4 linked regions of the Schizosaccharomyces pombe genome follow. The protein of the gene in region 3 interacts with the protein of the main gene of each other region in a biochemical or structural test. Each region holds a gene or a part of one and is shown on either strand. Other genes may lie near its edges.

Region 1 (5,524 bases), 1.7 Mb from region 3:
TAGCCTTGATAATGTTTTGATAGACATCATTACTAGCAGAGAATGCTTTCTTGTTGGGAGTAGCAATGTTGATTTTCTTGCTCAAAAATTTAGGATAAGATTGAGCGATTGCTTCAGAGGCAGTGTTATCGACCAAAATGGCGGGAAGGGGGGACTTGGCAAGGAAATCTACCAAAGCATCTAATGAATAAGCACCTTGGTTCTGAGAAGTAAGGTTCTTCCATTCAGACAAATTAATGGGCTGATAATCCTTGGAGACGTAGTGACCTTCCATACTAGAAATGGCAACAACGTTAAAAGAGGTAGTGCCATTGGTAGAAGCGTTTTCATTAAAACCCTTAATTTGGTTTAAGAGTTCACCGCCGATGTTTCCTGTACCTATTTATTTTTAAGTGATTAGCTTTCGCTTTACAAAACATTCAAGCATTCAATTTATTGTGTGCTTACCAACAATAGCAACGTTAACGTTAGTTCTGCTAGCTGACATTTTCAAATAGTGGGTGGGAGAGGTAGAGATGCTACGACGTTGGGTCGGATTACGAAAAGCAGTGACAAGGGTTTTCTCAAAGGAAACTTTGGAAGAGGTGATATACGAATTGATAATTTTGTTGTAGGGAAATAAAATTTTAGAAAGTGTAGATAATTTAGGGAGATTTAAATTTTTTCCATGTCTAAATATTGTCATACCAAACATTTTTTAGAAGAGTTTATTTTATACCCAAAAATGAGTTTTCAACCAAGGAAGGATCTTTCTCTCTGATTGATATCAAAGTTTTGCAGGTATATTTGTTGTGAACAAAATGTGAGCGACATTATATTAATCGAGTCAGAACATATTTGTAATAATACTCAAAAGCGCAAAATCTATTACTGTAGCAATAATGATGTTGATTTCGTTTGATACAAATTTTATTTAATTTGATTTTGTTTTATTGAAGCTCCGCTAAATAAACTTAGCTAGAAATCTAGTATAGAAGCCGATTTATATAAATTAATCACAAATTATAAATATAACGCATTAAATTTCATATATGGGATTCAATGGCATACAATCATATATTTACTTTTACAATTAATAAAAACCACTTAATCAACTTATGTGATTTATTAGTGTTTATCGACTCGTGAAAAAAAATATTTAATTTTTTGCTTCGTAAATTAAATTATATGCTGCTAAGTGTCTAAATAAATCACATTCCATCCATCAAATTTGCTTTTTTATTATTAAAAAAAAAAAAAAAAAAAAAAAAAAAAGAGATTTTTGAAGAGAAAAGTCTAGGGTTCAAGAAAATGAAAAACTGTAATGAAACCAATCTGACTATATAATTTGTTAATTATATATGCATATTATTATGATTAGCAAACTCAAATCATAAGCAGGTGCAGCTTTTTCAATTTAAAAGTTCAGATAACATACATTAAATTATTTATTTATTTTCTAAATCAAGCTTAGAAGAAAATAAAATATTATGATAAAATACTGCGAAATTAAAATGTTCTGAATATACCATTTTAAATTCTAATGAAGTTTTCTTGCAAAACAATAAACCGATATTATCTTGAAGTAGGTTGCTATCTCTTAAAATATTTAAATTATTCTTCACCTTTTATTAATAAAGAAAATTGAATCAATTTGCTAGACAATTTGTAGAGCAGCAAGATTTAGAGGGTTGTTTAAAATCAACAATTAATATAAGAAAAGAATTCCAAAGTAATTTAATTATAGGTTTATATACGTTTTTTTAATGTAGTAGTGATTATAGAAACTAGGAATATAGGAAAGTAGGCACATATTATGCATCAAGCTCGTTGTACACCCACCACCCAACCATTCAACTACCTACTACATACAACTCACTCCAGTTTCCTACTGTTAGCCATAACCTTTATTTCTGAGTTAGCAGCAAATATTGCTTTTAAACGGTTTGCCGACTGAATACCGTTCTCCGTCCGTCTTACTTTTCCTCGGAACACTTTACTTGGAAGAAAAATCGTCGAAATTCGGTCGAGTAAAAAATTAATCACAGACCCAAAAATTTGACTTCATAAGTGTCAAAAGCGGTTATATTGGATACCTGTAAAATGTCGAACCCAGATGTGGATTTGGATTCCATTATCGACCGCTTGTTAGAAGGTGAGTGGGGAAAAGCAGACTTGATCATGATGAAGGGTTGAGTTTAGACAAATTTTTGAAAGGAAATTGAAATCAGTTGTTGTTTAATACAATAATTTACATGAAGAAACTGGAAACGACTCTATGTAAATGTTCATTCAACTGTTCATAAAATTTGAGGAAAACCCAGGAAAAAGGGAAAGTTTTTTCTTTGAAAACGTTTAGAAAGCATTTTCTTTGATTCTTGGTCTCATTTGTGATGACACTTGCTTTATATACATAATCACGCATATTTGTATTCAAATGCGATTGCATATTGGCATATATCGTGTTTCTGTGTGAATGATTTTTCTAACCAATACTTCCATCCTTAATTTTACCATTTAAACCATTTAGCTATTTACTAACTTCTTTTAGTCCGTGGTAGTCGTCCAGGTAGACAGGTTCAATTATCTGAAGATGAAATACGATTTTTATGTAACAAAGCACGTGAAATATTTATTAGTCAACCTATCCTTCTAGAGCTTGAAGCTCCTTTGAAAATTTGTGGAGATATTCATGGCCAATATTACGATCTTCTTCGACTTTTTGAGTACGGAGGATTCCCTCCAGAAGCCAACTATCTGTTTCTAGGTGATTATGTTGACAGAGGAAAACAAAGCTTGGAAGTAATTTGTCTTTTGCTCGCTTATAAAATCAAGTACCCCGAAAATTTTTTTATTTTACGTGGAAATCATGAATGCGCCAGTATTAATCGTATCTATGGATTTTACGATGAATGTAAGCGCCGTTATAACATTAAGTTATGGAAAACATTTACAGATTGCTTCAACTGCCTTCCTATAGCAGCTATCATTGATGAAAAAATTTTTACTATGCATGGAGGTCTTTCGCCAGATTTGAACTCTATGGACCAGATCCAAAGAATCATGCGACCGACCGATGTCCCTGATACTGGGTTACTCTGTGATTTACTTTGGTCTGATCCTGACAAGGATCTTACAGGCTGGGGTGATAATGATAGAGGTGTTTCTTTCACGTTTGGACCTGATGTTGTCTCTCGGTTTTTGCACAAACACGATATGGATCTTGTTTGCCGAGCCCATCAGGTTGTGGAAGACGGTTATGAGTTCTTCTCTAAACGTCAGCTAGTCACATTGTTCAGTGCACCTAATTACTGTGGCGAGTTTGATAATGCAGGTGCGATGATGAGTGTTGACGAGAGCTTGTTGTGCAGTTTCCAGATTTTGAAACCGGCTGAAAAAAAACAACGCTACGGATACCAAGGTTCAAGTCAAAATTGGCACATGACTCCACCTCGGAAGAATAAGACAGGAAATTCAAAGTAATTTAAGCTCAATCCAATTTCTCCCATTCTTTTTTGTTGGTTTCATTTTCCACAAGCAACAATTCGACGATAATACCGCTTTATGTAGCTGTTTGAACGGATTTCTTTTCGTCATTTCTCAATGGTCGATGATTAATTGTTCATGAAATAACTGAATGTTCTTTTAAGAAATTATTTTTTGCACTACCATTTCATTATTCATTTTCTTTCTTTTCCGTCAATTGTTAGATGTATATAGACTATTGCCTTTTATTTTTCATCATCTAAATTCCCTTTTTTAACAAAATCTGACGCTTAAAAGACGGATGTTTTTACCGAGCAATAGTTGTTTGAACTACTTTATACTTCTTATCTTCGAGAGAGTGCTTAACGTTGATGATGGCATTTTCCGCTGCAAGCTTCTGTTTGCTATCGGTGGAATCCTTTATAATGACCATTGACAATTTTGTTTAAAGGTCTTTCATTTCAATTATGTATACTGGTCTCACGTTGGAAAATAATTTGCCTATTTAGTTATTGTTTATACTACTATGCAATCAAATTTCCTTTTCAGTGATGCTATTTTATGGTAGTTCACACGTTTATATACAGTAGGCTTATACAATGTTTCGGCATTCCTTGGGATTTGATAATATAAAGCCACCGTTTAATCGTAAGAGAGAGTAAGGTGCTTATTATCATTACAGCTATTTACCGGCGAGTTAGCAGAGTACTCACTAACAAGTCTATGAACACAATAATAATATTAAGAAATTCAGATTTATACTGCTGCTAAGGTACTATCAATTAATAGAAAATTTGTACCACCCAATTCTTGACTAAATTCGGTGAAGATTAGCCGAAAGTTAGCCAATATGTATAAGGGCGAATCATCAGTCTAGCACGAAAAACAAGTTCAACCGCAATTAATCTCACGGGTAATTTTGTTAAAAAGTGCAATGATACAATTTACTTTAGATTAACAGAACGTCACAGCTATTCATATACATCCAGTAAGAGCTTACTCTACGCATTCGCTTTAAATTTAACCGGCAGACTACCTTTATTTTTAGAAGCACAAATCAAACGAGATTCTCATTTTAGAAATCCAAAATTTTTAAAACGTTGAATTATGCCATTTATGTAGAAACCAAACTAAGACAACTAATTCCAAGCATTTTAAGCAGAGGCCTTAGCTTGACGAATAGCTTCGACGGTACCACGGTTGGCAAACTTTTGGTTGCGGCGGAACTTAGCATCACGGTACTTAAGAGAATCGTAACGGTGCTTTTGAGGACGCTTAATACCGTTACGGTGAGCCTTCTTGTTTTGGTTGTGCTAAGCTCAGTTAGTATTAACATTCATTCAACAATCTACAAAGACAAACTCACATTAGTATGATTCTTCGACTTGGCCATTTTGGTTCCTGGATAGGTGAAAGAGGATTATGCAAAGCAAAATATTGTTTCAAAAAAAGCAGTCACGTTTACAAGTTTCTGTAGCGTAGTTTACTAAAGCGAATACCGATATCGTCGGTATTACATTAAATTATGAATGATAACTTCGGCGAGTTCCCATTGCATTGGTGCTGTGTGTATGCATAATTGCTAAATAATCGTGTAGTTGAAATGTTTTTGAGCACTTTTGTGTAAAACATAACGATGAAGGAAAGTGAAGTACTGGAATGTTAATAAAATAAAATGGTAATAAATAAAAAAATGATCAAATAAACGCTTACTCTGTAATTTATGTTGTATTCCAAGTTATAAATTAAAACAACTAACAAGCTATCGTAGCAATTACAGGATAACGCAAAACATGATCTATGTTTATGACTAGTACTTCAATTTGTTTGATGCTCGGCGCGGAAAAATGAAAGCTCGATGCATTGATTTTAAAAATATTGGTAGATTCTTAAAACCACAATCATAGTTTTTTTTTTTTTTTTTTTTCGTTTCGTCTGATCAATGTGCAAAGTATGCACTTTCTTCTATTTTTACTACACATTTCAACATCCAAACAATTTTGCACTATAATAATTATAACACAGTTGTATTGTTGTCAGCCATACCTAGGCGAAAACA
Region 2 (6,330 bases), 2.7 Mb from region 3:
TTATGCGAGCTTCAAGATGAGAAAAGTGACATGTCCGTTGAAGAGTTTTGGGATACGCTGACTTATAGACAAGAGTGCTCCTCAGGTAAACTAGTTGGCTTTTTCACATTACAGCTACAGTTCTATCAAACAAGAGAATTTATTGCTAAAGATAATTTTGGTGATTCTGGTGTAATGATTCCAGCTAAATTATACAGAGTCACTTACGATACTTTATTGAAGCATCCATTTGGCTCTTTATCTGATGCACAGTCGTCAACAGAAAAGTTTCTTAGTAACACACTTTCCGCTGTACAAAATTTAAAGGATTTTCATTATAAGCGCTACAAGCTAGATATATGTGGGTTGGCAAAACGTGATGATCGTAAAAATCACAACCATTCGAAACCTGCTACGCAAGCCAATATTCTACAGCCACGAAAAAAAGTGAAAAAATAAAGGACTTTAAGTTCGTTGAAAATTTTTAATAATCCCAATCAATCCTCTCATGTAGATTTTTAGAGAAAGTTTTTGTTTAATATTGAAATTGACACTTTTCGTCAGTATTGCAAATAAATTAATAAACAACAAATATCTAAAATTAATAAAAAGCTAAATTAATGAGAGTGAAACTCAGGGGGAGTTAGTAAAAATAACTATATCAAAAAACCAAAACTAAGTAGAAATATCAGACTGACTAATAAGACATTCGACTATCCATTCAGGATCAACGACCGGACAATTAGTTTCATCTACAATGTTTCCATCCATCGTAAGTATCAAATCACACTCCAAATGTGCAACATTTGGTCTAATTTCAACGTCAGCACCCAATGCCAACGCGTGATAGACATGAGCCAAAGCTTTTTGACCCTGCTCTGTATTTTCAATCTTTTTCTGCCAAGATTTTGCTTCAGGTATAATAAATAAAATCTTTTTTCCAAATAAAGGACCCTTCCTTGCCAAAAGTCTGTCATATAAAGAATCAGTGGTATCAAAAGGTTCTATCCGTTGGGAAAGTGTACAATCTAGACGGTGTGAATAGCCAGATGCCAATAAATAAGGAGAAAAATCAACAACTCTGTTCATTTTTAAGCACTGTTTAATAAATTGAGGATGGACACACGGGATATTAAAAGCTAGAGCTTCTAAATATTTAACCTTTCTAGAAAATGTGTCAGATACAACGAAAGCTTGATTCCACGATTTACTTCGCTTTTGAGGTTTCAAATGGCGTAACTTTTTTTGTTTGCTTTTAAACGGGTCATTAAACAAAGGGCGTAAGCCTGTATCAAGAACTAATCCTCCATGATCCTGAACTACAGTTTCCAATGCACTTCGGTCATAGGCATCCTCATGCACGGGACCGCTGAATGCAAACACGCAATCGTCAAAGATGAGCTGATTACTTTCTGAATCCAAGTTCTTCTTGACAAAGGAAGAATCCCTTTCTTTCAAAGAAGAGCGGTTTCTCTGAGAATCATGTGAAGGAAGAAATGATGTTTCCTCAAACTTCATATCTTTTAAAGTAGAAAAACTGAGGTCTCTTCCTTGAAACCGCCGAATGTTCACAGGAGCAACATAAATAGTAGAAATGGGAACCGTAACCTCAATTTCTCCGTGTGCCAAAATAACCATGTCGTTGTTTAGAGCGTCCACTGCTATAAGGGATAATTGCTCATTAGTAGATCGAAATGTTTTCACAACAGTATGCTTGATTTTTCCTAATCTTGTGGATTGTACAACGTCTCCTTTTTTCAAAAAAAATCTCTTAATTTGATTTGAATTAACCGTGCTCATAGTTGCATCATCAAATTGAACCTTATACATGATGGAACTTGTTACGGCTGAATGTACGGGTGCGACAAGAGTTGCTGGGTAGTAAAAAGAGGGATATCCTTTAAAAAAAGCGAGTACACGGTTTTTAAAAGACCTTCTTGAATTCGGTGATTGGGAAGGTTTTAATGGCTTAATAGAAGCCCTAGTGAATAAACTATCAATTTTAGGAGTATCCAGGCTTAGGCTGTCAGACCTTGAGATAGCTTGATTATTAACCGATTTTCTCAGCCGTTTGTTTACAAAAATTGAGCTCACTTGACTAGACTGATCTATTACAGTCGACGGTGAAGCACTTGTTTCATATGAAGAAATCACATTAAATGGATTAGGAAAGTTTTCATCATTAATGTTTTTAGTTTTTTTTGAAAACTTGGTTTCCGTATTATCAACTTTTTCAGACGAGGGCTCAGTAAAGCTAAATTTTCGTTTATATTGTTTTTCGGATGTCTCTGGTAAAAAAGCAGGAGGAGTGGACTCTACTCGACCATAAAGAACGGGAGACCCTAGAGAAGTCGCCAGTCGAGTAGGTGTAGTCTCTACTTGACCGCTTTCTGTCTCATTTTCCATCTCATCCAAAGTGTAATCGTAAAACTTTGTCCTATGTTGAGCTACGGTTTCAGGTACAAGGACTTCTCCAACGGTTTCTAAGTTTTTCTCATTTTGAGAAACTGACAAAGGTGTATCTTTTAAAGTTGAAAGAGTTGATGGTAATAGAGAAGTAAATGGGGAAAGAATTTGGGAAGAATTAGATACATTCTGAGGAGTCAACAGCTTTTCATGGTCCGATATAACTGATTGACGATCGTATAAGCGTTTTAACACTGTATGTGTCTGCTTGGGTGAATAAGGCGACGATATCACCTTACGAGAATCATGTTGAATAAGTTCATCATCCGAAATGTCCTGGGAACTCTGTTTTGCAAAAGCAGCTTGACTAGGTACTTCAAACAACTGCGTAAGACTTAGCTCCTCAACAGCACCATTGTTATTCACATCCTTAGAATAACTAAACTCCTTATTAGAATTATCATTACTCCTAGGAGGGGAAGGATTAATTGAAGCATTCACTTTTGAATAATTGTTACGAGAAATTGCTGCTTGTGCTCCAAATACACGTTGAGAATTTATGTCAAGGCCAAATCCTTTATGCAAAGAGGTATCATTCACCTCCATAATATTGTTAAACTTTCAAACAAAATATTGAAAACATCTAAAATACCTCACAATTGTCAGAACTACAAATTTAACCAGGGCTTAACCCAAATTTCGATTTATCTGTTGTAAGCTCTGCATAAGTAACACGTTGCACCGTTACTTTATATGAAAGCAGTTAAGAACGTTTAGTTACAACACCAGCTATTTGGCTAATCATATATATATATATATTAATATGGAAATGAAGGGCTCAAGGTAGAAAAACTTATTTTCTAATTTTATTAATAATTGTTTGACCTGATGTACAAACTACAGCATGTTTCCACTTTTATTAATACGTTCGATAGGAGATTTATGTTGTTAGAATCAGTAATGTTGAAGAAGTAATTTTAAATTTGAGTTTTGAACTTTTCATCTTGACTTTTTGAAACAATCATAGAAAATAGATTTTGCTTGTTTAATGATATTTCTAAAAAAAGAATGTCAAATATAGTTTCAGGTTATATTGCTAACATTCATATCTTATTCGTAGTGGAGCCAACATACATTCGAATTCCTAATGAGTGATAACTATCGTTTATATACTTTATTAAAACTTAACAGCTGTCTACGGCCATACCTAGGCGAAAACACCAGTTCCCGTCCGATCACTGCAGTTAAGCGTCTGAGGGCCTCGTTAGTACTATGGTTGGAGACAACATGGGAATCCGGGGTGCTGTAGGCTCCTTCTTTATTATTGCTATTTAATTACTACTATTTTGTTTGAGTTGACTATCCGCATACATTGTTTATATGATTTTTTTTCATGCAAATGAAGACAAGCAGATAGACGTTATAAAGCGATTATGATTGTAATGAGCAAGTCTAAATTTGCTCAAGAGAAAGAATGTAACAAGCCATAGCTCAAAAAAGCAATTACATTTACTACGCTTTATTTTTTTAACAATATATATTACTAAATGTAACGGATGACACCGAGGTCGGGTAGCGTAGTTGGTTATTGCGCACGACTGTTAATCGTGAGGTCGAGGGTTCGAGTCCCTCCCTGACCGTTTTATGACCACTTTTTTGGCTGTTTACAAAAGTAAAATCGTTAGATTTGAAATTCAATGATATTGCGCAAAAATTGAATGTGACTACACGTCAATACTTTAACCATTTACAGTTGGCTACTTTCTAGCTTTAGTAAATCATTTCAATACTGTTCAACTTTCTAACTTATTAAGAATAGATGTTGGTATTATGTATTTGACATTACATATCCTACATTTTACCAACTGTTTTGGAAATAAAACATATTTTGTAAAACAACAATAATCAATATAAAGCATAAATAATAATGAAGTATGAAGTAGAGATACTTCGGGAGTGCAACTTCTCATTTTTAGTCGTCCTAATGTAATTCATCCTTGGCGCTCGCAGTTCATATTCATGAACATACATTGCATTTATAAATCTTAAGTGTTTAGGAAAGATAAGCATTGTATGCAAGAAAAATAAAGATTGCCTATTTCCTAAAACAAATATTTCATATATGAGAAAAAATGAAACTGTACCAATAAACATTCTGTAAAGAGCATTTTGAGCGAGCAACATTGTATTGTGTACTCCAACTTACTCTTACTCATTTTGGTAAGAGGACAAATCCTACCATGAAAGCATTTTAATTCCTCCATATTTATTTAAAAAAAAAAAAAAGAACGCCAGTAATGCTCAATTTAAAAACTTTTAATACGAATCGTCAGTGAATTATAAAGAAACGATTCAACGGATAATATTTTAAATAGAAATTTTTGATATACGACGAATTACTTAATCGAAGACATTACTCAGAACCATTATTCCTGCTCACGAAGCGAGCAATTGCTTTAAGAAATTGCAGAGCACCTCCCTCATTAGGATTGGCAGATTCGTCGAGTGAGAGACCAAGTGCTGAAATAATGTTTACACCACCAGGAGAATTTAAAGCTTGAGAAAAGCTTCTCAAAGCTTGAGCATATTGAGGACTACTAACAATAGCCAAAACCCCCTCCAAATTATTTGGGGTATCAGGAGGCATGTAAGGCATGAGTCGATCAATAACACCTTCTTGGCATAAAAGATCGGTTAAATTCGAAGGTTTGAGGATTTCGCAAAGATCGACTGTACTACCTCCAAATCCAGCCTGAGCAGAAATTGTAGCCAATAGATTCCTCACAGCTTCCGATGAATTAATTTCATCGCTGTTCGGGGCTCCAATCTCGGAGCTCTCTTTTGAAGATTCAGTTGGTTGAGCAATAGGTTCCGATTGCTCAACAGTATCCACTTCCATCATATCAGAAACCGTTGCAACATCAGAGCGGGCCGGATCTAATAAATCTTGATCCTTAATGTAGCTGTTAATTCTTTCAGCGTAAGAAGTATCGTTATCGTCTGAGGCTTCTTGCATCCAGTAAAATAGGCTATGAGCGCTAGAAGGATATTTGAGCATGTAAGCTCTCCCAGTGGTACATTCCGTAACTTTTTCAAATGTACACTCAGAAGAAAATACAATTATATCCTAAACTTGGTTAGTATCGACTAGAACTTTTAATGTGTTACAGGTGGTATTGAAAGTGATACTTACATCCTCGGGATTTTCAAGATCATTCCTTTTTGCCCATTGAAAATGAATTAATCCATAGGCGTCCCGATTCATGACTATATAACTGTGATTTGTTAGCTATCATACATAATATGCGAGCATACCCTTTTTCTGGGTCAGCACGTAAAAGCTTTGTTCCTGGAACTCTGCGAAGCTTTCCTGCTTTGAAAGTTATCAACGACATTATCCCAATCGCAAACTGCTTAAACTGCGAAATGCAAAAGACAGGTTGTATGTACTGTGTCGAAACCACGAAGCTCTAGCTTTCGTTGTAGTTCGTTGCGTTGTTTAACAATAACGTTTGATTACACTGCAAAAATCCTATCCTTGAAACAAACATAGCTTAATTTGGGTAGTATGATAGCTTCGAGGAAAAATAAATATAACTTATAAAATAAAATAATCAAATATTTAATAATGTTATGTAAATGATACCTTACTACGTTTGTGAGAAAGCGTAAATACAGCATATTTAGATTCTGAATTATCTTTGGCTGTCAATTAAGTAGTTATATTTCAGATCCTACGATTGCAATTGAGCGTTGAATTCGCTATTTATATTAGGTGAATTCTTAGTCAATACGATATTTAAAGGAAAAATATGTTAATTCCTATAACCCTTTAAGCCCTGAATCATAATGAAGTTGGTTCTTTAGGAATACCAAAAATTACTTGAACAGACAAATACTACATTAGCAATCCTTTCAACGTCCGTAAATGATAAACAATATGAT
Region 3 (5,705 bases):
TGATGATTTCCACATCGCTGTTACATTTTTTACATTTTTATATTGGAACTCAATATTCGTGGAAGGAACTTGTTTAAACTCATCGCCTATATTCATGCAATCAGTATAGTCAATTCGCAGCTCTTTGACCTAATAAAATGTTGATTAGCAAATGATCTAGAAAAAATGATATTTTCGGTAACGTTCGGGCTACACGTGTGCTAACACCGACAAAGGATAAGGCTATAATCAGATAAAAATTATTCGCAAATAATCATATCTTTCCAAAATACAGTAATGTATTGCAAAATATACCCAGTTTATCAATTTGAAACATATAGCTCTATGGAAACGCGTGATGCTTAGACTTACCCGTCGACTGGCCACAAACATGCCAGCTCCCAAAGGAGCAAACACTATGCCTAATAAGAATAATAACGGCAAGACTGTCCATGGTGTGAATATAAACTGCCAAGCAGGAAGTGTTTGCTGAACAAACCGAGATTTGTCACTACATACGGATCAGTAAACCAATTTGCCAAAAAACGAATGTAATCAAGACAACTTACGGGCGCTTAAATCTCTTATGCTTTGGTTTTTTAACTATTTCTGTTTGACTCATAGTATATAATCAGGCATTCAACAATGCTTACGAATATGAAGAATGCAAGATTAACTTGGTCCTTGGTAAAAGTGCGAGACTGCGCAAAACTCCATCATCACCTTACTCTCTCGCTGTCACTTGGGTTAGCAGGTTATATGACACAATTTATATGTAAACACAGAGAAAAAAGCATTGATTACAAAAGATATCAAAGTTATTTCATAGTAAATAACTCGTATAGTATTGATTTCCTAAAAGCATTTTTTTTTTGGGTGAAATTTTGAATGACTTATTAAGTTCATTGCTTATAATCGTATATGAAATCGCTAATAGCAGCTGCAGTGAATCAATAAAAAACCTTTCTTATTTTTAATTATGTTAATTATAATTTTTTTGTAGCCGTTTATACACAGTATTCTTGAAAAGATTATTTCAGCCGATGGATTAATGAAATAAATAGCAATTTTCCATGCGGTGAAAAAGGAAATCAAATAATATACCCGCTTGTATTCAAGGTTTTTATAAATCAAATCAGTGGAATATTCACCATCATCAGAAAAAGTTTTTTTAAATAATGAATGACATTCACAAGACACAGGATTCACCGCCGTACCCTTTTTATCCATAAAATTAGAATCATATCATTTTGCTCTTCATGATTTAGTTTATGTTGTTAGAAGGGGGTTTCCAGCGTGGTGATTCAATTTTTATTCTAAGCTTTATAAAGTTTTGTTCGGCGGTTTTCAAAGTAATGTTTAAGAGTGATGAACTTATCCGCTTCTTCACTTCTTTGAGACTTTCAATTACCTGTATAATATCTGTAGATTTGTAGAAACAGCTAAGTATCGCTATATGAATATTGATTACTTACATTGCTCAAGTAGTTTCGTTATAATGTAATGTAATAGATAACAAATTTAAAAAAAAACTGCCTATAAGAATCACTGTATAGCTGAATATTAGTTTAAGAAATTAAGCATACTAGTGGCACCTTTCACCACGAATAGCTCCATGACTGCTGCTAGCATCAAACTTCTCCAACCTTCTTATCGATCTTAACCACTATAATTATCTCACCATCATACGCGGAATTTCATTTATTTGATCAATTGCTTTTTCATTTGCAAAAGGCCAACTATCTAGAAGTATTCTTTCTCTTTCCATTTGTTGTTACCATTACTTCTTGCGTACAGAGCAGATAGAAGTATTAGAATTCATTTATTTTTTGTTAACTGTCTTTTTTACCAAAAAAATTATTTTTTAAGATATTCCCTTCATTCCAAACTTTTCTCTCAATTTATACTCAACATATTTCTTAAATTCCATTATGGCTTATCAAACTCGTGAAGGTCTCCCTAATGGCTGGGTCGCTCAGTGGGATGAACGCTACAAGTGTTACTTTTATGTTAATGAAAGTGATCCCAAAGCAAAGCCGCAATGGGAATGTCCGGTCCGTGGTTTAACTATTCCACCACCTCCTTCGGTGGACCACTCTGCTCCCCCAAGTGGACCGCCTCCTTCTTATTCCAACTCAGCCGCTCCTGCCACTCCTGCCGCTTCTGCTTCTTCTGCTGCTCCTGCTCCTGCTCCCGCAGCTTCCCAAAACAGAGCATACGGGGCCGCTCCACAGCCTTATCCCCCTCAGGGCGGTTATCCTCAACAACCATATTATTATCCCAATCAACCAAATTATTACCCAGCCCAGCCTGCCTACGCACAACCCGTATATGCCCAGCCTGCTACTTCTGCAAGAAGAGGTCGTAGCGGAGTCTTGTCTAATCCCATGGTGACTGGTTTGGGCGGACTTCTTGTCGGTGGTTTGGCTATGCATGAAATGGACGAAGCTTTTGATCGTCCTGAAGAAGTTGTTTATGTAGATGATAATAACTACAACAATTTTGATGATTATGGAGGTAATGACTTTGGCAATGATTTCTTTTAAGGGAATTTCATGCATCGATTATGTTATTGAGTTCAACTGCATTATTGACAAGTGTTTCTCGCAAGAAAAATTACATTAGATGAACGATTAATACATATTTTACTGCAGAAATATAAGATCATTCATTTTACACCTGTGTGTACACGGGGATAGTTCATTAGTGTGGTTAACTCGAAAGTCTTCGTCGTAAATGAATATTGACTTATTCAATGCTGTTCCCTAGTAATAGTTATTATTTATATTAACTTTTTTTTACCTTTTCTCCTTCGCAATGCTTTTTATCTATCTGGATTTTTTTTATGACTCTGTAACTTCTGACATACACACGGATTCTGCTTGTTTTTATAAGTGTGATATTTATTTATTTATTTTTCTTTTAAATAAAAAAAAATGTTTTGTTTTCTTTGCGAGCAGGTGGAGAAGTCTTTGACAGTTTTTACAATTTCACATTTATCTTAAAGGGTTAGTCTATAAATATTAGACAACTCAGGATAATCCAACCTACCGTAAATTTATTTATTTAATAATAGCACTTTTTTGACTGATATTCACATTTACAATTTTTTAATTCACGGTTATACAATGTCTTCAGATGATGTTTTGATTATGTAGTTCTTCATATCTGATCACCTAGTATAAATTGCAAGTAATGAGTTATGTCCTACTTTTCTAATTTCATTTTTGATAACAGTATAATTCATAAGTTAGAAACATGAAGCGCTAGCCCTAAGTTCGGTTTGATAATAGTCCTCTGCGTTTCCACTAGTCTATCGCTAGTTGAGCAAGCTTACCCACAGCACAACACAACATAAGCAAATTTGTATAAACGTATTTTGAGATCATTCTCGCATCTCTATTAACAGATATTAGAAAAATTATTTTCCAAAAAACATACCGCTAGGTTGCTTCTTTTAGTGGTTTGCAATGGAGAATTATCAAAAAGTCGAAAAAATTGGGGAAGGTAGGTGTAACTGAGGAAGCTATGACTTATCCAATTTCTTTTCTGTCACGTATACTGACTAATGCTAGGAACCTATGGCGTTGTTTATAAAGCAAGACATAAATTGTCAGGGCGTATTGTGGCCATGAAAAAAATTCGCCTTGAAGATGAATCTGAGGGAGTTCCTAGCACAGCTATTCGTGAAATTTCGCTTCTTAAAGAAGTGAATGATGAGAATAATCGATCAAATTGTGTTCGGTAAGTTTTTACTTGACGGATGCATGGGAAATGTTTACATTGATAAAACTTTGTTTCTAACCCTTTTTTAAGACTTTTGGATATTTTACATGCTGAATCAAAGTTGTATCTTGTTTTTGAGTTTTTAGACATGGATTTGAAAAAATACATGGACCGAATTTCAGAAACTGGGGCCACTAGTTTAGATCCGAGACTTGTTCAAAAGTTTACCTACCAGCTAGTGAACGGTGTAAATTTTTGCCATTCTAGAAGAATCATTCATCGCGATTTAAAACCACAAAATTTGTTGATAGACAAAGAAGGCAATTTGAAGCTAGCAGATTTTGGACTTGCGAGGTCATTTGGTGTCCCTTTGCGGAACTATACGCATGAGGTATATTTTTTTTCTTACTTGGCTGTATGACTTTATTCCCAAAAAATTTGGAATATTGACTGACGGTCTTTCAGCATTAATTTGTGTCGCTAACCGTTTAGATTGTCACTTTATGGTATCGTGCTCCTGAAGTATTGTTGGGATCAAGACATTATTCCACTGGGGTTGATATTTGGAGCGTTGGATGTATTTTTGCTGAAATGATTCGACGAAGTCCATTATTTCCCGGTGACTCTGAGATCGACGAAATTTTTAAAATTTTTCAAGTTTTAGGTACCCCAAACGAAGAAGTATGGCCTGGAGTCACGCTTTTGCAAGATTACAAATCCACATTTCCTCGTTGGAAACGCATGGATTTGCATAAAGTTGTTCCCAATGGTGAAGAGGACGCTATTGAATTACTCTCTGTAAGATTTTGCATTACCATCTATTTAAGACTAATTACTAACCATTTTGTCAAGGCTATGCTTGTTTATGACCCTGCCCATCGCATTAGTGCAAAACGAGCTTTGCAACAAAATTATCTTCGTGATTTTCATTAATTTTCGTCTCTTATTATTAAACCTTTAAAAACGCTATCCTTGACTTTATCTGTACTTTGCTGTGTTTCTTGATATCAGTTATTAACAAATTACCTCAATTTATAAACCGAAAATATTTATTTTCCTCCTTCTTTTTCGAATCTTGGCGTTTGTTCAAAACATACTCAAACAATGGGCAATTTACAGGGCATATAAAAAACACTGACATATTGAGCTTGCCATTAAATGTGAATTTAGTAACGTTTTTAGTTCTGTTCCCTTTACTGTGTCTTTATTGTAAATATCACTTTAAATGCTTTCTTTGACTGTCAAGGGAATTATCGCCGTTCTTTTTACAAAAGCAGGCTCTGAGTGTTTAAATCTATTTTTCTTTCATTCCTGATAAAACTGAAGCCTTTTAATCTCCCTTTTTCTTACTTACTCTTATCCTTTGTTTTCCAGTTTTTTAATCCTCATTTATACTATATTCTATTTACATATTTTTTATACTTAAGTATTAAAAAAGGTGTATATTCTTTAGACTTTAGTTTTTAGTGTTCGTGTTTGCTCTGAACATATAAACTGCACTTACTTAGATGTATTTAGTATCAAAGAGGTGAATTAATTTTACGAGCAAACGGTAAAAGAACGTAAATGTGCTTATTGTTCAACAGACATACGTGTTTATTAAATTTTACAAGATGAAAGTGATATGAATATTTGTATTTCACACTATATTGAACGCTAAGCGAGCATCATTTACAGCTTAAGTCTATACCTAGAGCGTTTGGAAAAATTCAAAATTAATAAATCGTATAAACAAGAAGTAAAACTAAACAGCGCAGGAGAAACCACTAGATGCATGGATACATACTAACGATTGAACCTGGCAAAGTGTAATTGGACAGAATGAAACGAGACATATTGGAAATATAACGTCTAAAGATGAAACGCAGGACAAATTTGTTTGGAGGCTTGAGAGGAATGAAAAGGGAGCAAATACATGGAGGGAAGAGCATTTCCATTAAACTGCGCATGCACATTTTACTTTCCATGCTTTAATCATAGAAAAAGGTAACCAATTAAAT
Region 4 (5,145 bases), on a different chromosome or scaffold from region 3:
TGTATTTTTATTCATGCCAAGTTCCTTTATTTTAATATACATTTGATCCATGGTAATTCCTGATTCTAATTCTTTGGCATCATGTATCCCGCTAAATCGAGTATTGAGACTCAAAATTTTGCCTTTAGGCTTTATAAACACATCCATAATAATGCTTTCCTTTGCTACCACCGTCAAACGAGCCAATTCCATCCCGTTCGTAGTGTAGCATAGTTCACAATCTAACGCGCAATGACTTAATTGCTTGCTATTTGTACTGTCTGGTAAGTAGGAAAATGGATGAACGCTAGCAAGATACGGAAGATGTCGGTATTTGAACACATGGTTGTCTTCTATAATACAACCAGACGAATCGCCCTCTTTTACACCACAGCAAGTGTATGTACGAATCTTCTCCCCCCCTTGCTTTTCACGAAACAGTTTTCCCCAATGATATGTACATGGTCCTCGAGGATCCGCAAACCGTGTACCACATCGATCGCATTCACGAAGTTCATCTGGCGGGTTTACTGGTGCAACGTCTCCAATATTATATCCCCATAGAATCAATTCTTCTTCCGAATGAACAAGTGACTCAAGTTTCTCATCAGGAGTTGATCCTTGTATTTCATTTTTCTTCGGAGCTTTCTTAAGAGATAAAATTTTAGACTTGCAGGAGGAACTGTATATCATTTTACTGTTTGCAGTTTCACAAATATTTTTTTCATCGAGAAGAGCAAGCATACTACTTTCTGCATTGGAATAGCCTAAATCCTTGTAAGACTCATATAACAAATGTGTCATTCGTTTTCTCAGTTCATGCCCAGCTGGTGAGTTGGAGTCATATTTAGGAGTAGGAATGATATTGGAAGACGCTCCTTGAGAATCTGAATTAGTACTAATGGCTGATACAAGTTGCTTCTTCTTATTAGGAACGATGGAAATGGCATCATTAAATAAAGAACGCTTTTTTAATACAGTATTTGTAGGTAGATGCGTCGTTTGATGATTCAACTGCTTGCATTTGTAAGTTTCTAGTACGTCCATACGAAAATTCTCATTCTTGGTTTCTTTAATGGAATCATTTGTCTTCTCCAAATTTAAAGTGGTGGATATATTTTGCCTAATGTTGAAATTAAGATTTTCAACCGAATGATAAGGGATACAGGTCGTAACTATTGGAACACAAATAGACAGTTTACAATTATCGTATTTGTAAGGAAGTGATTTTTCAATTTTAACTTTTGGGTACCCTTCAACATTTTCGGAATAAGGTGGTGAAATCTTTGTTGAGTTTTGAAAGTCATGACTAAAGAAACAATTCCTAGACTGACATTTGCGTCCAGTTCGTAGAAATGGACAAACTATGTGCTTAAACTGACCCAAAGGTGAAAACATTGAAGCAAATTAGGTACAACAAGTAGGCAGATTTCCGTTGGGAATTTAGATAAAAATTCTCAAGCAAAATATAATAAAATGTACCGCTACGAACAAAGATACCATGCACCCGCGAAAGAACCTCTTCAGCCAAAAATAGAATGGCGAAATCTTGAAATTCGTAATAAAAAACAAAGACTTTTTATATCATAACCAAAACAATTTCTCGATTAAAATCATTAACCATGGCTTGCAAAAAGCCAAAGTTTTTTCCAAAGAAATATGAATGTTAGTTAACAAAAAGGATAGCTAAGACATTAATGGTGGTGATCCCCACCGCGCAAAGGTGCGCTAAATCAGGGAATATTTGTAAAGTTAATTAATGAAAAATTATGCAGGGTTGACACAGTATAATTCAAAGTTAGTTTATATGAAAAAAAGGAATGTAAAAACTGCCATTTAAACCAGTAATTACAGGTTTATTAAGAAATTAGCCGGCTTTTAGAAGGCTTAGGTTTAGCAACACGGCCATTAGAAGTATTGTTAAGTGATGACATGCTAACACTTCGCTGAGCACTTTTTTTAGAATGACTAGACCCACTAGACCACCTATTTCCACTTGTACGTCGAATTGGACTACCAGTTGGTGAGGATGTCGGAGAACGAACTCCATTTGGTTCGATATTGCTTTGACTTGATGAGCGACGCAAGCGAACCACTGAAATTGTTTCAGTTGGAGTTCCAACAGTCCGTGTTTCATCATCATTTTGTATTTCTGAATCTTCGTAACTACTGTATGACGCTTTGTTCTCATTTTGGATTGATTGCTTGGAAGCATTTTTAAGTTTCTCATTAAATTTGACAGAGGACGCTGAAGGGAGACGTCTCGCCGACGGTGGATTATGTCCAGAAACTTTTCTCGGTTGGCCAGGCGTTGGTTCTGGAAGAGGAGTACTGATATTGCTTTGAGAGGTACCATTCGTAGCATTCAATGGATGGCGAGGAGGAGTAGCTAAGGGTTCCGCAGCGGTGGCCTGTTGGATTGCTCTTCCCATCGCCTTTTCGTAAAAATATGCACGGAAATGAACTTGATTAATATGTAACCAATGCTGTTGTGGACCTACAACCATTCCAGGACGCATTATTCTCATGTAAGCAATAACTTCATTAGCAGTAAAACAATGTTTGTATATTAAATATGCGCCAATTAAGCATCCAGTACGTCCGAGCCCTGCTTTGCAATGAACAGCAATCACACCGTCTTCTTCTACTTCCTCGGTAAGGTCAATAAACTCTTTGACAAGAGAAAGCTCTGGAACTGTGCCATCCTCAAAATACATCTCTTTATGTCGAATTCCAACATTTTCAAAAGTCTTTTTATCGTAAAGAGGTCCATTAAGCCTAACTATCAGTTTGACCTTATTAGCGACGAAATAATCGAGAACTATCGCAAACGGTTGAGGAAGTTTCTTTGGACGTGTGCTCGCATGATTCCAACCAGCCTGAATAGGACTTGCAAATGCTATAAACTTAGGAGATATCCAATTAAAATCTCCATTCTCCACTCTTTCATAAGTTTCATAGTCATGAACATCGATATTACGTATATTTAGTATGCTGCTCTCTCGTGCTCTCCACAGTCCGTAAACACAATCTTGAATCGTGATATAGTAATCTGAAACAGCATATCCCGCATCTCTAAACCCCAAAAAAGGAGGTTCTGCCTGAGCTAAAGGGGCTAATGCGAGATGTGGAGGCCAGTTTTGTACTAACACCATGTAGCAAGCTAACAAACAAGCGGCATTTGCACGCAACCTTGTATCTGTAGAAGAATATAAAACTATAGCCTTGCTTTTCTTAGCTTGTCTGTGTTTTCCCATGATACCATGAACTATCACTGCAAATCTAATAAGATGACTCACGTTCAGCGGACCAAAGTCATGATAAAAAGGGTTGTAGATCAATTCATCATCGATAGTAAAAAAATGCATATGAGGATATAACTCGGCTTTAGGTGGTTGCGACAATGATGTGTAGTATAACTTGTCTATTTAACATGTTAATCAATTTTACGAGATATTTGAGTTAAACTTCATGCATACCCTCCAAAAACTCAATCATTTCACCAAGCCCATCATCTTGGTAATCCATCAGACAAGTAATTGCGAATCTCGTCTATATTCGTCAAACCCGTAATGGTTGAGTTCTAAATTGTGTACCTGGGTGTTGGTGGTCCTTGTAAATAGAAGGGATGATAATGCACAAGAAAATATGTGGGGTGCGAAACAAATGAAGACAAAAGTGGATTCTAAACTATACACAACGTTATGTTGACATTTAATCTTTTCTCTTTATTAAAAAAAAAAAGACATTAACTTTTAGCAACACTATAGTAAATAAACAACAATAATCATTATCTTACAAAGTAAGTAAAAATGCACATCAATTTATGATAAACATACAGAATACTTTTTGCTCATACAAATACAACCCAACTTTTTTATCTGAAATTCGATTTGTTTTAGCAAATATATTTAAATCCGATAACAAAATCCGGATAGATAACCATATAATTGCCGGACCTTTAAAGCTACCCTAATCTATCATTTATGGATAGCACTGGAAAGCATAATATTTGTAAACATTATAATGGTAAGAACGACGTTGGGTGAAATTTAAGTTAGTTGTAAACTGGTTCTAACACGCCGCCTCTGAATACTAAATAGCAACCTAAACGAATAATAAAACTTTTTTGCGCAACTAGTTAGAAATAAACACAGGCTAAATCCGTAATGAAACGATCAGCGTAAACGAAATTTGAGGAAAAATCAGTTGATATTTCATCGCTGTTACAGCGATATACCATTCTCATATAAGTTGGTAAATGATACGATATTATTGCTAACAAAGTTTTGGAGGTATAGTGATTAGTTTGCTCGCAAACCAGTCTAAACCCATAAAATACTAGGGCATAAGAAAGAATGATAAAACACTAGATTAAAAAGGAAATTTTTTGAAACCTTAAAACCGACCATTAAGCAAAACTTCTTTTCGCTTACTATCAAGCAAACAGACATGATATACCAAAAGTTAAATCCCAGGATAAATACCAAATTTTAATAGTATATAATAATCTACATTAAATGGCTAAGCATCTTTTAGATATTGAACAATTAAACTTCAAGAGCAGGTACTTCTTTTATAATTTCCTCGTAGCTTTCCTTGTACTCCTCAACTTTAGACATGTCCTTCTTTTTTCCACCGGGAACAATCATAACACAGCTAGTAGGTCTCTTGGTGTTTGATGCTTCACCAAGCAACTCTTTGGAAACAGTATATAAGTAAGGGACATTATTGTCTTCACATAATACTGGAATATGAGATATAACATCCATGGGAGAAATATCACCAGCAAGAATTACAAGACCCTTCTCTCCTTTTCTAACAGCCTTTACAACCTCTTTGACCCCACGAAGGATGTGTTTCTGCTTCGAAGCCTTCTTGACAGTCTTCATCATTTTTTTGTTCAATTTTTTAGGAGCTAAAGGCTTAGCAATTGGCATTAAAGCAGGAAGATATGAATCATACTCATCTTCGGTGCTTCCACTATGCTTATGGTCTTTTTTATCTTTTGCCATGATAAAGAAATGGAGAAGGATAAGTTTGGAAGCCCAAAAGATGATCCCAATAAAACTTTTTTCAGTAACGCTATGTAGCGGATAATAGTCTGTTAAGCCATCTGTATAATACGTAATTTTAAGATACCAGCTTTGGTAATATTCCTTAAAT

What was found.
Region 1: of the proteins of cdc2 (region 3) and dis2, one has a biochemical effect on the other in vitro, tested with the Schizosaccharomyces pombe proteins (3 studies listed by BioGRID).
Region 2: of the proteins of cdc2 (region 3) and crb2, one has a biochemical effect on the other in vitro, tested with the Schizosaccharomyces pombe proteins (2 studies listed by BioGRID).
Region 4: of the proteins of cdc2 (region 3) and clp1, one has a biochemical effect on the other in vitro, tested with the Schizosaccharomyces pombe proteins (2 studies listed by BioGRID).

What each region holds. Positions count from the first base shown.
Region 1 is NC_003423.3:3,171,657-3,177,180, reverse strand, and holds dis2 (serine/threonine protein phosphatase PP1 catalytic subunit Dis2), read left to right. Parts: upstream 1-2,082; coding exon 2,083-2,134; exon of another isoform or gene 2,135-2,202; intron 2,203-2,483; exon of another isoform or gene 2,484-2,530; coding exon 2,531-3,462; 3' UTR 3,463-4,016; downstream 4,017-5,524. Other genes in the region: hom6 (homoserine dehydrogenase), read right to left, coding at 1-378, 448-487; rpl29 (60S ribosomal protein L29), read right to left, coding at 4,620-4,778, 4,832-4,858. UniProt on the Schizosaccharomyces pombe protein: Essential role in cell cycle control. PP1 is perhaps required for exit from mitosis.
Region 2 is NC_003423.3:4,207,748-4,214,077, reverse strand, and holds crb2 (DNA repair protein), read right to left. Parts: upstream 3,112-6,330; 5' UTR 2,992-3,111; coding exon 655-2,991; 3' UTR 501-654; downstream 1-500. Other genes in the region: histone lysine acetyltransferase Rtt109, read left to right, coding at 1-438; proteasome regulatory subunit rpn1301, read right to left, coding at 4,799-5,512, 5,579-5,660, 5,701-5,780. UniProt on the Schizosaccharomyces pombe protein: Essential for cell cycle arrest at the G1 and G2 stages following DNA damage by X-, and UV-irradiation, or inactivation of DNA ligase. Plays a role in the response to DNA damage.
Region 3 is NC_003423.3:1,496,891-1,502,595, forward strand, and holds cdc2 (cyclin-dependent protein kinase Cdk1/Cdc2), read left to right. Parts: upstream 1-3,317; 5' UTR 3,318-3,353; exon of another isoform or gene 3,354-3,395; 5' UTR 3,396-3,449; coding exon 3,450-3,486; exon of another isoform or gene 3,487-3,554; coding exon 3,555-3,723; exon of another isoform or gene 3,724-3,795; coding exon 3,796-4,096; intron 4,097-4,197; coding exon 4,198-4,503; intron 4,504-4,557; coding exon 4,558-4,638; 3' UTR 4,639-5,205; downstream 5,206-5,705. Other genes in the region: aminophospholipid translocase regulatory protein Ivn1, read right to left, coding at 1-129, 352-490, 549-601; protein wwm1, read left to right, coding at 1,911-2,525.
Region 4 is NC_003424.3:4,768,153-4,773,297, forward strand, and holds clp1 (Cdc14 family protein phosphatase Clp1), read right to left. Parts: upstream 3,565-5,145; 5' UTR 3,508-3,564; coding exon 3,459-3,507; exon of another isoform or gene 3,404-3,458; coding exon 1,839-3,403; downstream 1-1,838. Other genes in the region: exonuclease Rex3, read right to left, coding at 1-1,377; box H/ACA snoRNP complex subunit Nhp2, read right to left, coding at 4,530-4,994. UniProt on the Schizosaccharomyces pombe protein: Protein phosphatase which antagonizes mitotic cyclin-dependent kinase cdc2, the inactivation of which is essential for exit from mitosis. To access its substrates, is released from nucleolar sequestration during mitosis.